3 linked regions of the Styela clava genome follow. The main gene of each other region encodes a partner of the protein of the gene in region 2 in a complex. Links are inferred from orthologs where the notes say so. Each region holds a gene or a part of one and is shown on either strand. Other genes may lie near its edges.

Evidence for each region.
Region 1: DNA replication licensing factor mcm7-like (region 2) and protein downstream neighbor of Son-like share a complex: the UniProt entries of both Homo sapiens proteins name them as parts of the replisome complex. The link is inferred for Styela clava from reciprocal best matches to the Homo sapiens genes MCM7 and DONSON.
Region 3: DNA replication licensing factor mcm7-like (region 2) and DNA replication complex GINS protein PSF1-like share a complex: the UniProt entries of both Homo sapiens proteins name them as parts of the CMG helicase complex. The link is inferred for Styela clava from reciprocal best matches to the Homo sapiens genes MCM7 and GINS1.

The regions. Positions count from the first base shown.
Region 1 is NC_135250.1:31,954,054-31,958,723, forward strand, and holds the start of protein downstream neighbor of Son-like, read left to right. Parts: upstream 1-2,052; 5' UTR 2,053-2,140; coding exon 2,141-2,267; intron 2,268-2,440; coding exon 2,441-2,550; intron 2,551-2,786; coding exon 2,787-2,895; intron 2,896-3,350; coding exon 3,351-3,617; intron 3,618-4,670. UniProt on the Homo sapiens protein: Replisome component that maintains genome stability by protecting stalled or damaged replication forks.
Region 2 is NC_135256.1:12,817,166-12,821,835, reverse strand, and holds the start of DNA replication licensing factor mcm7-like, read right to left. Parts: upstream 3,246-4,670; 5' UTR 3,198-3,245; coding exon 3,152-3,197; intron 475-3,151; coding exon 398-474; intron 1-397. UniProt on the Homo sapiens protein: Acts as a component of the MCM2-7 complex (MCM complex) which is the replicative helicase essential for 'once per cell cycle' DNA replication initiation and elongation in eukaryotic cells.
Region 3 is NC_135253.1:5,304,099-5,308,768, reverse strand, and holds the start of DNA replication complex GINS protein PSF1-like, read right to left. Parts: upstream 2,900-4,670; 5' UTR 2,241-2,899; coding exon 2,166-2,240; intron 1,862-2,165; coding exon 1,797-1,861; intron 1,417-1,796; coding exon 1,315-1,416; intron 1,099-1,314; coding exon 1,008-1,098; intron 599-1,007; coding exon 515-598; intron 68-514; coding exon 1-67. Other genes in the region: uncharacterized protein LOC120326422, read left to right, coding at 3,938-4,060. UniProt on the Homo sapiens protein: Required for correct functioning of the GINS complex, a complex that plays an essential role in the initiation of DNA replication, and progression of DNA replication forks.

The sequences.
Region 1 (4,670 bases), on a different chromosome or scaffold from region 2:
TAGTTTAGTTTAGCCAATTAGTTTATCTATATTAAGCTTAAAACTTAGATATAAAACAGGTATGGTCTACTTTAGTACCGTTCGGACTTATTCGCTACCGGGAATCAATGGAACTAGATTCGAATTATCTCATCCTAACGGGGAATTTCAAAATGTTAATGCCGGTACCGAAACTGAGTTCATGCATCTGAAACGAATAACTGACTGACTATTCCTATAACCAACGTGGACCGGTAGCCGGACGAGATGCCGCGGTTCGCCATATGAATTAAAGTTAAACCGTCTCGTCGGCTTTTTTCTACCAGAGATAAATGTGAAAATCCCATCCATCTGCTACTTATTGTTTGAGTTATATATGCAAAAGTATTTTCCTCCATGTTATTGCCCGAGCATTTATTATTTTCCAATCTGTTGTATTCAATAGGCTCGGCAGTGTGCTGCATCGTGCTAAGCGTTAGGAATACCTTCGCCACTTCCCCCTTTGATTACCCTGCGTGGGTTCGCAGGTTATGTGTGAGAGGATTGCTGGACTCCTCGCCGCCGTAGGGTGGTTCACGTAATCGCCTGTCGGTTACGGCTTCCTCTACCATCAAGTCCATGCTTTCGGAAACAAATAACTAGCTAACTAACCGCATACCCGACATAGGATAGTAACCAGACGAGAAGCCGTGGTTCGCCATATGATTACGCCGTCTTATCGGTTTTCCTCTCCCCGGGATAAATATGTAAATCCTATCCCATAATTACGGTACATTGTAAGCTCATTAAACAAACTAACTTGTTAGGTTATAATTTAATTTACACGTTTCTCGCAATAAATACTGTTACGTGAATAATATAATCGTGAAAACGGCTGTTTTGTCGCTATAATTCAGTGAGGCTACGCGGGCAGGATTATTTCACTCCGCGGGCCGTAGGTTGCCGACCCTTGTCGCAGGATATATGAAAAAATTATTTGTCATCAAGATGTGAAATGAATAAATGTTCAACTATTTCCATATCCACCTGAACGGAAGACCGTGGTTCACCATATGATCAATTAAGCGGTATTATCGGCCTTTTCTCTCCCCGGGATAAATATGAAATTCATAACCCAACATACGGTACGCTGTTGAGAGAACCGGTGAAAAGCGCGGATAAATTCATGCGGCTCACTTCTGACACTTAGTGGTCAAAATTTAGGGCGCCAAAATTTAGACCAATATAGGGAAATCCCCTGACATTTATTTCTCAAAAATTGAAGTATTTCATTTTTGTCCAGGCAGCTGGGGCTATAAAGAGTTACTGAGTCAGGAAGAATAGCGGCACCATACTGCAGTACTGCCATAAGTTAGGCTAACTGCTTAATTATGTACAAACAACCCCTCATTAGAGATTAAATTTTGGGAATAAAACAGCACCGCTGATCTGAGAAGGGCCATGCAATTTAGGATAGATCCGATAGGATAGGATTTACATATTTATCCCGGAGGAGAGGAAAGTATGGGATTAGTTATCGGTATATGGTTTGTTTTCGGAAGCATGGACTTGGTGGTGGAGGAAGCCGTAACCGACCAGCGGTTACGTGAACCACCCAACGACGGCGAGGAGTCCAGCAATCCTCTCGCACATAATCATCCCTGCATGGGATTTGAACCTGCGAACCCTCGCAGAGTAATTAGAGGTGCGGTGGCGAGCGTATTCCTAACGCTTAGCCCGTTGAGCCACACCGCCGCGCCATTTGAAATGCAGAAGGTCATGTAGAATAGCAAACAAGCAGACTAAAACTTATTCCAGTATTCATCACCATGCAGACATGTGAAAATTAAAGATAAATTTGAAGAACATTGTTATTTCTGTATTCACAGGCGAAGGAATTTGCCGCATTTAGCCAAAAAAAAAACTATTAAGCTAGGAGTCTCACAGAATACAGAAATAAAGCATCAATATCAACAGCTCAATAGCAAAATTAGCCAGTTAGACTACAGCAGTTATTAAGCTTCAATTGACTCTTATTTCAATATTTAATGGCTAAATCTAAAGCTGCCCATTTTATTTTCAATTTGTAGGTTTGAGTTAACTTATCACTTCTGCACTTGGTGCGGTATAGCTTTCTTCGATTATTTATACTTGAATAACAGCAATAGGCTACGTGTATATAATGGCTTCTGACAAGCCTGTGCAATGGCGGACACCGGATGGTGTAATGAGAAGAATACGACTCAGGAAATTACAAAGTCAAAACGTGAGAAGAGCATCGTTGTCAAACCTATCTCTAAACAACCAAGGTTAGTATTTCTTGACCTACAATTTCTCTGAACAAGGCTCGGCACTAGCGAATCTGATATGTCAGTATGTTGAAATTACAAATCAAAACAGAATAATGTTTGACGAAAATTGACTCAGCGGCATCCATTACACTAAAATGGACTATATTGAAATATTTTTAAATTTTTTTCAGAAACCTCTAACGCTAGTCCATTGCTCATGAAGAAAAATGATTCAGAAACTTCTTCAGTTAAACGTCAGAACCCATTTGCAAAAAAAAGGCCGGCTTCCGAAAGCGCAGATGTGAGTGTGTGTTATAGTCTATATGAGTATTTTAAGTTTCACAATATGTGGTTTTAACAAGTGTTTATCAACCTATCGCAATTGGGTCACCTGCAAATTTTCTTGGGTCGCTTGTTTTTTTAACAAAAACCTAAACATTTACTAATTTATTATCCAATAACTTTTGTTGATAAACATGGTTTTTCCCTGAATTAAAATAATCATTAGTTTATTCATATTTATTTCACAACTTTCAGGCAATCAAGAAGAGAATTTTATCTTCTTCAGAATACGAACGAAATGTTGAAAATATTCCTCAGAAAATACCGCTGAATCAGTCAGATGAAATTTTGAAAACCAATGAAGGTCTGTATGTTGTTTCATAAACATACAAGGATGTAATACCTATCTTAGTTGAGGAATACGCTCGCCACTGCGGCAGGTCCGAATCTCATGCGGGGATATTCATGTGCGAGAGGTTTGCTGGACTCCTTGTTGCCGTAGGGTGGTTCATACAACCGCTGGTCGGTTACAGATTCTTTCGCCATCAGGTCCATGTGTCTGAAACAAATAAGCTGGAGAGGATTCTTGGACTCCTCGCCGTTGTAGGGTGGTTCACATAAACGCTGGTTAGTTATAGATCCTTCCACTATCAAGTTCATGTTATGAGAACAAACGACTGACTAACTAATTCTATTCCTGACTGGTAACCGGACGAGAGGCCACAAGTCGCCATATGATTGAACTGTCTTATTGGGGATGGATAAATATATAAACCATATCCTCTTAACTTACCAAATTTATATTCCAACCACATTCAGGCACATATCAAAGCAATACCAACAATTCAAACTCCAGTCACATCATCTCAGACTCCAACCACCACAATTCCAACCAAACCGAAGCCAAAGATCCGGCAATGCCGTTTGTATATTTGGAAGAAGACTCGATCCAAGGCATATTTACTAACACAAGAACCGAAGCGAATACGCTGGTCGGATCAGAGACTTTACCAATGGATTGGACAATCAAACGTAAAGCTAGATTCCTGTCAAAGTCAACGTTCGCTTGGTGCAGTAGGATAAAAGGTATGTACCACATGTTGTCTTGGCTCTAAGTTTTATTTTTGAGTAAGAATTTTTTTGAATATTGAACTCTCAATTGATTATAATTGTGGGCACTCCCGAAGTATGTGAAACAAGATGGCAGACGCCAGAATGTGTACCAGGTTGGGATTAGGCCATAATTTTATTCCAATTTTCCTTATTTTAGTTCTATTACGAGTTCCAGGACTAGCCAAGTGACTCCTGTAGTATTTGTAACTAAAATTATGGCCTAACCCTAACCTGGTACCCATACTACGTTCGCAACGTTCCGATGTCCGCCATCTTGGTACCGAATTGTGTACAGTAGAATTGTGTTACCAAATCAATTCGTTTCGGAAACCGTTTTGTAAGTGAAGTTTCTACTGTATGTGGGAAACTTGGCAGTGCCTATTTTACCATGCCTCAATTTTTAAAACTTGCTAATGGCAAACATTATTGCAACTACCGGTATGTAATTTATGATGATGTCAAATGATTGTTTTGTATTATAAGTATAAGTTTATTTCGACTCCATAATCAGCATAACAATAAAATGATTGGTAAAAAAAAATAATTGAAAACTGATTATGGAATCGGGAGAGTTAACGAAACCTTAGATAAGGTTTAAAACGTACAGAGTGTATACAAGATGGAAGGTTTTGCCAAGAAGATGTGGTACGTGTTCACTCACCTAAAATAATTGAAATATTTCACACACGCACCCACACACACAACCATACAGAAGTTATAAATTACATACGGGTAGTTAAAAAAAGGGAATAAATAAAAATTACTTGCCACATCATATTTTTAAATTTATAACGTTATTACATTATTTTTGTGATCAACAGCATGTTGTTCAGTATCAGAGCATATTCTTGGGTCGCGAGATTCTACAAGAGAGTGAGAAAGTTCATTCCTTTCGTCAAACCATGAAACAAGCAAATATGCAAAAATATATAGATAATGAATTGACAGATAAACGAGAATTTCGGTCAGAGACCGAAGACTTATCGATCGAAAGTTAGGGGTTCCCCTAAAACAGCGCTCTTACTC
Region 2 (4,670 bases):
ATATCTTCGGCGAACCTAAAATTATTTTTATATGAATTTAATAATGATGAAATAAATAACTTTTTGGACCACGCTAAAATATATTCGAGCAAACCATTATTCATATCAAATTGAACGTAAGATTTAGCCTGTTCTCTTCTTTTTTCAAAAACGTTTGATGTCTTGTCTTACACACCGCCTTGTAATAGCGTCTGTGTAATACAATTTCAATAGTAGAATAATACAAGAACCAGACTTCATAAAAATTTCATCGGCTTTGGCAACAACGTATGTGTTAAAAAAGCCATTGAAACGAGCTGGAATAAAATTGTTAGTTTGTACGATCAGAGTCAAAATTTGGGAGTAAATATATTCTGCCAAAAATTACATTAAGTTGATTTAAATAAAAAAAACTTACCAAAGCTTTTCCATATTTGAAGCACTTTCCAGATCCGTCGTCTTGACAAAATTCTCCCAAAAATCTTTTAACTTTATCTAAACGTAATTATTTAAACTTGAAATATATAAGAAATTGGTAGAAATTGAGTTTTCGGGATTTTTGCTCCTTAACTTCACACGTGCTGAATAGGGAAATTCGAATTATCGAGCCAATGACGAAATAAGTATCCGAGCAACGTTCCATTGCGTGACAACGGCAAACTATTCTACCTATCTGGATTCGTAATGGAAACGAGATATCACGGCTCAAACGTCCTTCCACGCCGCTCTTCGTCCTATTCAATTCAGGAATGTAAACATTGCCCAGATCTTCAACCATGAAACTTACCCAGGCGACCGTTAAATAAGTGAGAGAAATAAAGAAACAAACTGCGCTCCTCAAAAGACGCCGAGTAGTAAAATTATATTCCTTTTAGTAATGCGATCAAATAAAATGTAGTCTCGTTTGTTTAATATACTGCCGAGTTCCGACACCAATATATCACACTGCGAGGTAATTCACTTCACTAAGTTTCCAAATTTTTTTTAATCAGTTTCTAAAAACCACCCATTTCAATAATTTACGCATAAACTCTTGAATTTATATTCTGTTTGTCGTTTATATGTTTATTGGCAACTGAATTCAAGTAGTTTTTTGCCAACCGAAAAACGAACCTCAACATTCTACATACTACATACTAAACTGAATCGATATTTTTCGAAATCATTATATCCTGGCAATATTTTACCTTTCTTGCACATAGGATACTTTTGACGTCTCTTATCTAATAATCTGTGAACGCCCTACGCCTAACTAGTGAGCACCGAAGCGAACCAGTTGCCACTCACGACGATAAGGCGAGGTTTACGCTAGCGTACCGTGCGAAGAAGAACGCGCAAACAGCTGTAGGCTTCGTAGTAATTAAAATCTTTTATCCTCTTGCGTTCCCTGAGTAATAGTCATAGAATTGGCCTGCCATCACTGCACATACGTCATGAGATACCGCAAGCTACTAATATATTGCCAAATTGAAGCGGAGTCGCCGAACGAAAATATATTGCAAGCTACGAGCGCGGAGGATAGTAGCTAAGTCTAAGGTACTTTGTCGCCAAAGCTTGCAAAAAAACTGACAAGACAGACACGGGCTGATGGGCACGGCCTTATTTGAGAGAATTTTAGGTACTTTATATTGACCCTTTGAACACTCGCGATATTAAATTGCATTATGTTCAAGTCCTGAAACACTAGATTGACATAAAACGGTTAGCAAAGTTAATCTACCGAAGACGATAGATCGTCTCGCTTTCATCGCCAATCGAAGTAACCAACGACAATTTTGAAAAGAGGATCCCACAGGTGATGTCATTCGACAAAATGCCGCCGTTTGCTAAGAGCGAGTGAGCGCGAACGTTTCTTGTTGTGTTAAGGCAGCCGGGCGTTAAAACTTTTTCGTGAAGTCTTCAAAATCGTAGATGTCCCGAGTGTCAGTTGTAAAGTGGCGATATTGAATAGTCGGTGGCGAAGCCTTATATTGCGCAATAAATCCCCAACACGCGGAACTGCAGTGGTGTATAGTGTTTCCTGAACATTTACTTTATCAATTACGGCCACCATTAGATAGAAAACGTTAACCCAATAATAGTCAAAAGCAAAGCGGATATTTCTAATTTTTATTAAAATCTCCTCATAAATGTGGGATACTTATATCAGCAGGCCATAGTTAAATTCAGCAAAGTCTGTGAATTTAACCCCAGAATTAAATAAACGGAAGAAGTTATTGTTATGACAAGGAAGTACTTTTCTGAATATAACATCGTTAGGGGTACCTAATTTATATGTTTCAAGTGTCTCAAAATTAAGGTTTGCATAACAATGTGATGGGAAACAGACATAGATCTGACCCTAATCGAATGAAGTTGTATCTATATTTAACTGCTATAGTCAGGGATTCCATCAATCTGGAACCCAAAATAAGGAAGACTGGAAAAATTTCTGCATTGTGAGCAGAAATAGCTGGCTTTCCTATGGCCTCCAGGTTAATGTCACAATTACAGACATCACGGTGTGCGAAGCACTCACCCTTCAAGCTTTGTTTAACTTTAATTTTTTTCCCTTATTCATCGCGAAAAACGTTTTTACGTTTGCTCATTTTTAAATTTAAGCTAAAATAACCACCACCACGACAAAACCTAAGGATCGCCACACTAACAAAGCTTCATGCCTATCTGTGCCTTGCTTCTTTGTGTTCCAAATAAGATTGTGTTGCTTTTTATGATGCCACCAAAATAAGAACAAGCAAGCCAAAAATAGGGACGCGAGCCAAAAATAAGGACAAATCTTAGAAATAAGGACGGTATGGAATCCCTGGCTATAGTTTAATGTTATTAATTTATTTTAAATGTTATAGACTAATAAAGCTATAAAAAACTTGTGCCGATTCCCTCCTTGAACACATTTCGAACAAAAAATTTACATAACAATTGAAGCAATTTGATAGGCTGTCTAGTTTTTTTGATAATGACGGTAGACGTTAGTCATCTTGACATAAACTTCACACCTTGGATAAAATTATGGATTAATCATTTTTGTTTGAAAACACAGTTACTTATCTACAATACATGCTGAACAAATTTTTGTACTTGAAGTAGGATATGGTATTTCATTTCAACATATGATAAATATATACTTACATGTAATTCCGGTATTCTAAATTAAAAGAAAAAAAAAATTCACCTTTTTCTGAAGGATAGTCTCGTTTCTTGTCTGATCCAGTTGCCATTTTAGATAAAACCAAACAAAATCAAAATTGGAAATTATAATGCTGTAAATATACAAACAATTAAAGTTAGCATTCGCTTTCATATAAAATAGTATTCTTCAAATTCATCCCAAGGAGGCAAGGACTTATGTAAACCCCTGGCTATCATTCCATTTCCAGGTACATGGACTTACAACCTAAGTGAACATAGAGAACTTGAATTATGGTAATAACAAGATTTACATATTTATCCGGTGGAGAGAAACTATTTTGGTTTATCGACCACAAATTGTTGTAATAATAATGTAGGATAAAAGTAAAATGTTTATCATTCAATAGTGTAACGGGATAAAACCAAGTCAGTCATTCCGGGCAATATACAAAGATGAACAAATGATAAAAAATATAGTTCATGAACTCATATACAAAACTCAGATGAAAGCAAAAACAATAAAATTACATAGTCCTAATAAAATGATCATTACACACTACATATTCATAGACCATCTAATACTTGCTACATAAAGGCATTGCCGGATTCCCAATATCAATAAGCATACAGCCACGATTCCCCAATGACTCAAAACCTCGGTGAAGATTATCCCACAAATTAGACACCAATACTACAATGGACCTCAAGATTCATGCAACTAATTATAAATCTTGCATTTGAGTTAACTTAAATATCCGAAAATGCTTTTGATAAAATATTTCGACTGTTGCATCTAGGTAAGTATAGAGTTATAATATTGGCAGATTGGGTTTACTTGGCCTCGAACTTGGTAAATTAATTAATGCAACATCTCGATAAAGTTTAATATAAGCACTATAATAAATTTATGGCACTCAAGATGTTATGTTACAGGAAAAAAATGAATTAATATCATTCTATTACGTATGCTAACTCAAACTTTATGAATCGGCATTGGGACAGGCCATAATTATATAAAATTGTAAACAAAATATTTTTTGCAATTAACTAATTCCATATAAACATTCTATGTAGAGTATTTATCTAAACTTAATGATTATAACAATATCTAGGCAATACCATTTCTCTCATCACGACATATTCTCTGAAATGAATGAATGTACAAAATATCTTAATAGAATTTTACATGCATACATCTCAGTATAAACCAATTGATAAACTTAAAATGTCAATAAAAGTAAACAAAAAATTACTGATAAGTTAGGGTGGATTCAAATTTGCATCAGTTTGTAGATTTGTGGAAGACTAAAATGTCTTCTAAAATGAAATGCCAATATTATTCAAAATCCTATAGAATTTGAAATGAAATAAACAATTAATATTTACTATCACTAAAGTGTGAGATATTCCAGAAACGCAGCAGGAACCAGATATATGGAAAACCGAAAAGATCTATTTCCTGAATTTGAATGTCACTGGAAGACTTTATGAATTAATTATGTTTTTGAAATTTTAACAGCTTTCACAAAACTGAGCTGGTCAACATACAGACATAAGCAAAT
Region 3 (4,670 bases), on a different chromosome or scaffold from region 2:
TTTCAAATTGTCCATGATCCTCCACACACCTAACTTCAATGTATAATGACTTGGGTGGCGTCATGTCCTGAATATAAATGAAATTGAATCAGAAAAATGCAAGAAAATAATAATATAATATACAGGAATGGCCAAAACCCAATATTTTACTATTTCGAATACAATTTGAAAAAATATACACACAGCTTTATTATGGAAAGAATTCTTTACTTTTATTTAGAAATATTCAGATAGAAAGCATTCAAATTAGTATTCAATATATATAATTTAAAGCGGTAAATTAAATTATTCCTGTTTGGAAATTTATCGCTCATTATAAGCATTTGACATGAACTAATTCAACTTCTGCCGCAATAAAATCGAATTCAATCATATCTCAAATATTTTGCATAAAAAATCCAATTCACAATAATTTCTGAAAATTACTCCACCAATCCAGTACATATTCGATATTCCATAATCTAAAATTAGAAGAGTAAATGATTTGGTTTTGCTATCCATCTTTGATACCAACCTGTGTTAGATCAAGACCACCCATTCCACCGATGGATCGCATGTAGTTGGCAAGAGATCTGTTGTATCTCGTAAACCATTGAATCTGATTTGATAGAAAAACACAACTTTTATTGCCAACTGGAGTTAGACTCATTGACATACTTACAATGGCATTTCGTACAAAGTTTTGATGGTGATTGTAATCAACGAATCTGTGAATGACTATAATATTTAATTATGACAAAAGCATTATATTGAAATAAACCTGGTAAGAAATATTTTATCATAGGTCACAAAACCATTTTGTTATAAATTAGTTACTCCAATTACAAAATACTATTTCAGTACTTCATAGCTGTTTCGGAGTATTTACAAATATAGCTTATTACTATGCTATATGATTGATAAACTAGTAAATATACTTGAAAATTATTTAGATAAAAATTATTTTGAAATTGATACAAACATGAAAAAGCACAATTAAGTAGCCTACATGTATAGATTATACTCACTTCTTTCTCCGATAAATTACTCTTGATTTCTGGAGGTAAAACACTACCAAATTCCCACCTCATATCTCTGATTTTATGAAGTCTATTATACCTGAAAAATGATTTTTGCATCTGCATTCATCTGTTGCAATCTGACAAAATAGCTTGTTGGTAACTTAAGAGAATGTAAGGGGCTTATTTATCACCCTAAAGTCATGTCAGGTACTAGTTATCAAGCCCGGTCAATGTTTTGAAATCTTCAATTTTAATATTAAAAGGACTTCAACAGATTGTTATACACAGATATTTTAAGCAAAATAATACATACAAATAGGCCAGCAGGCAACGCTTGTTTCGTTCCAATCCACTGTGTCGTATTTTAACTGCTGCCATTTTACTTCGATCTGAATCTGGATTCACTAACTCAGCACTGGCATTAAAAAACATTGTTCAAATCAAATAGGTTATTGTACGACACATAAGTATATTCAGGAGATCATATCTTATTAATTAATCTTTTAATTCGAATAAGAAAATTTGTTTTAAGAGTAGACCATGCTTATGATACTTGTGAACTAACCCACAGCAGACTGATTTGAATTTCTTTATTAACCTCGTTGACAAATGAGAATGCCATATGCTATACTGTTTTCACTTCCAATGGGCATATCTTTTATAATCTCTGATACTATGGACACCTTTTTACCATAACATTATTTTTTATTTGCTTTATATGTGTGATGTTGCTAAGGCAACTCTCATATATGAATATTGATTGGTAGAATAGGTTCCATTCATTGTCCAACTTACACATCTTTTTGATTAGAGTCGTAAAGAACTTGCATTTCTTCTAGTACTTGTCTAACTCCATCTTCCTGCAAAATAACAATAAGCAAAACATTAGAAGAGACTTTTCAACTCTCACAGCTAGGGTTCAAATCCAATGCCAATCCTTTCACCAAGTGTACAATGAAATTTATAAGGTTCACTTGAACCTGAAACATAGCAACTGCCTGTAATGAGTCTTGTTCGGAGCCAAGATATGTAAACACCCGATGAAAATACCACAGCCTTGTTACCAAAGAAACTTTTTATATATAAATATATTGAATTTAAAAGTTAGCAGGCTGCTGCTCATATTAGGCCTTAAAGGTGTGAGTGAAATTTAAAAAAACTCACATTGTAAGGCGTTATCGGTCCATCTTTATTCCTGTACAAGTCTCTAATGAGTTCTAAGCCTTTCTCACCAAACATTATAGAAGGCTTTCAAGACCATTCGAATCTAGAACAGCTACTTTTCAATTTATATTGCAGACTGAAGGTGTGCTTAGCTCAAAAGTTTTCATTAAAATGAAACAGATTTATTTTATTCTGCAGTGGAAAAAATATTTTATATACATACCTGTGGGACATTTTGGTCAGCCAATCTAATATTTGTTATTACTGTGTAAACCAAAGATTTAAATCTTAATAGGCCATATATGTATGTTCATAAGCCTCAAAAAATGTGAAAGTATCCACATAATAATTAAACAGTATAACAGAGAGGGGATACATGTTCAATGCCTTACTGGCCAAGACACAGTTGAACAACCTAATGTACCCATAAAAAGCATTTACCGGCAGTTCAGAAATTGACAGTAAGTTGGGACCAGAACTGGTCATTATGAGACTGCGATTTAAAACAAGTTAAAAATAAAAAAACAATGGATAATTTAAAGAAATTAAACAAATTAGGGATTTGTAGAAATCTTTATATATGATTTGGAAAAAATCTATATAGGGAAAGAAACAATTGAGACACAATAGATTGGAGCAAAAATGTGGTTTTCCTTCTGGCGCAGCAGCCCTGAAATGACCAAGATTCACCATGTCCTGATGACATTCAGCTGTACTCCTGTACGATATTTATTGCTGTATTGTCACATGCAAAATCAAACCAAGCAATCATTTTTATTTGAAGGAAAAAAATTAGGAGATTCTCAATAAAAGGATTGTACGAACGCCAAAACTCCATGTGCAACAGGCCATATGAATTTTCGAAGGTGATGAAAAAGAGAAAACTTTGACAAATAAGGGAAAAACTTTGGCCCACGGTCGCATTTTCGCGCAGATGTCGAAATAACTGTCCTGCAGTCGATTCCTGCCACTTGACTTTTTCTAAACCTAACACAAAATGCATGCTTAACTTACATAAAGTTCATTAATAAATGTAAATTTCATAAATACTTTCCCTTGATAGACAACTCATCCTGTCATTCCAACCTGTCACTTAATTCATAAATTCACATCCAACCAACACGACCGACAGAAGAAAACAGCAACAAGACGTCGAAAAAATCGCGCGACTTGTTGTTGGACATTCTTAGTGACCCGTGAAGAAAACGTAAAGCAAGCGGTCGTCTCTCGTCGTCGATTAGGAGACATAACGTGCCCGTATTATTTTCAGAAATATCCAACATTTCGATTGGAAAGTAACGACTCTACGAACTTTTTCGTGTTCGCAATGTGTTCGAAACTTTTACACCCTGTCATTTTACAAAAAAATACGGGCGTGAATTGTATCACTCTCATACAGATTGTTTCATTTTGGTTGAAATTGTCCAATAATTACACTATTTTCACCAACTACTCGTAATACCCTGGCAAAAAACACTGACACTTAATCTATTTGTTTTTATAAGTTATTCAAAAAACAAATGAATGAATACTGGTATACAGTAACAATCGATTTTCCCAAATCTTTCTGGACTTTATTTTACCATGGCCGACTGTCATGCGTCGACCAAATGTTTTGCTCTTACTAAATGCGTGTACTTGACAGGTAATTCATCTTATTCATGTGCAAGTTTATTCTACTCTCAGACTCTATAAACCTTAAATTGATCTGTCTGTTGGTCAGTCTGAAACTAGTCTCCATTTAATCTTAGTAAGTTTCACTAATACCAAAGATGAATTTTAAGCGCAAAATCCCGAAGATGCGACAAAATTTTCTTCATTTCCAAATGAATGTTGGCTGCAACCTCCAGGATAGCTTGTCTCTGATTAAAAGACCAAGAAATCGTCAGAGCAAGGTAAAGTTGATCACATGTGGTTACACCATTAAAATAACTTTACCACCACTTGCTTACTTCTGCACCAATATTTATGTATCAATTTTATGAATTTATTGAACTGTTACAGACTATAATCTGTATTATTGACCAACCACTGTTTCAAGTGTTGATACTGAAAATGTTATTTAAAAGTCTTGAAATCCAATATTTTTACAACAATTACTGCTTAAAATATGGTTGGCTACAGATATTAAAATTTTTTTTTTTAGATAGTTTAATAACGCATTCTGCAGAATTATGACATGAGTCATAAAATAATGAACTTCTTTATCTCATGGCAGACCTGGTGCAACTGCTCTTATATGTCTGATTGAGGTCCCCCGCAAATGGAAAGCAGCTTCGATTTTAAGTGCCCATGATTATGTATTGCTTCTTGCAGCGTTTGAATAATCAACAGTTGCAGACAAGCCTCATCTATACAAATCCTTTCAAATCTCACATTTTCTCTGATAACGTACCACACATGGTGTTGAACTGTCAAAAACTTTTATACCCCTTTTGTACCCCTATTATAGCCTATTGTTTGTCTTTTAAAATTCCCATTCCTAATAAACAAACCATTCACACT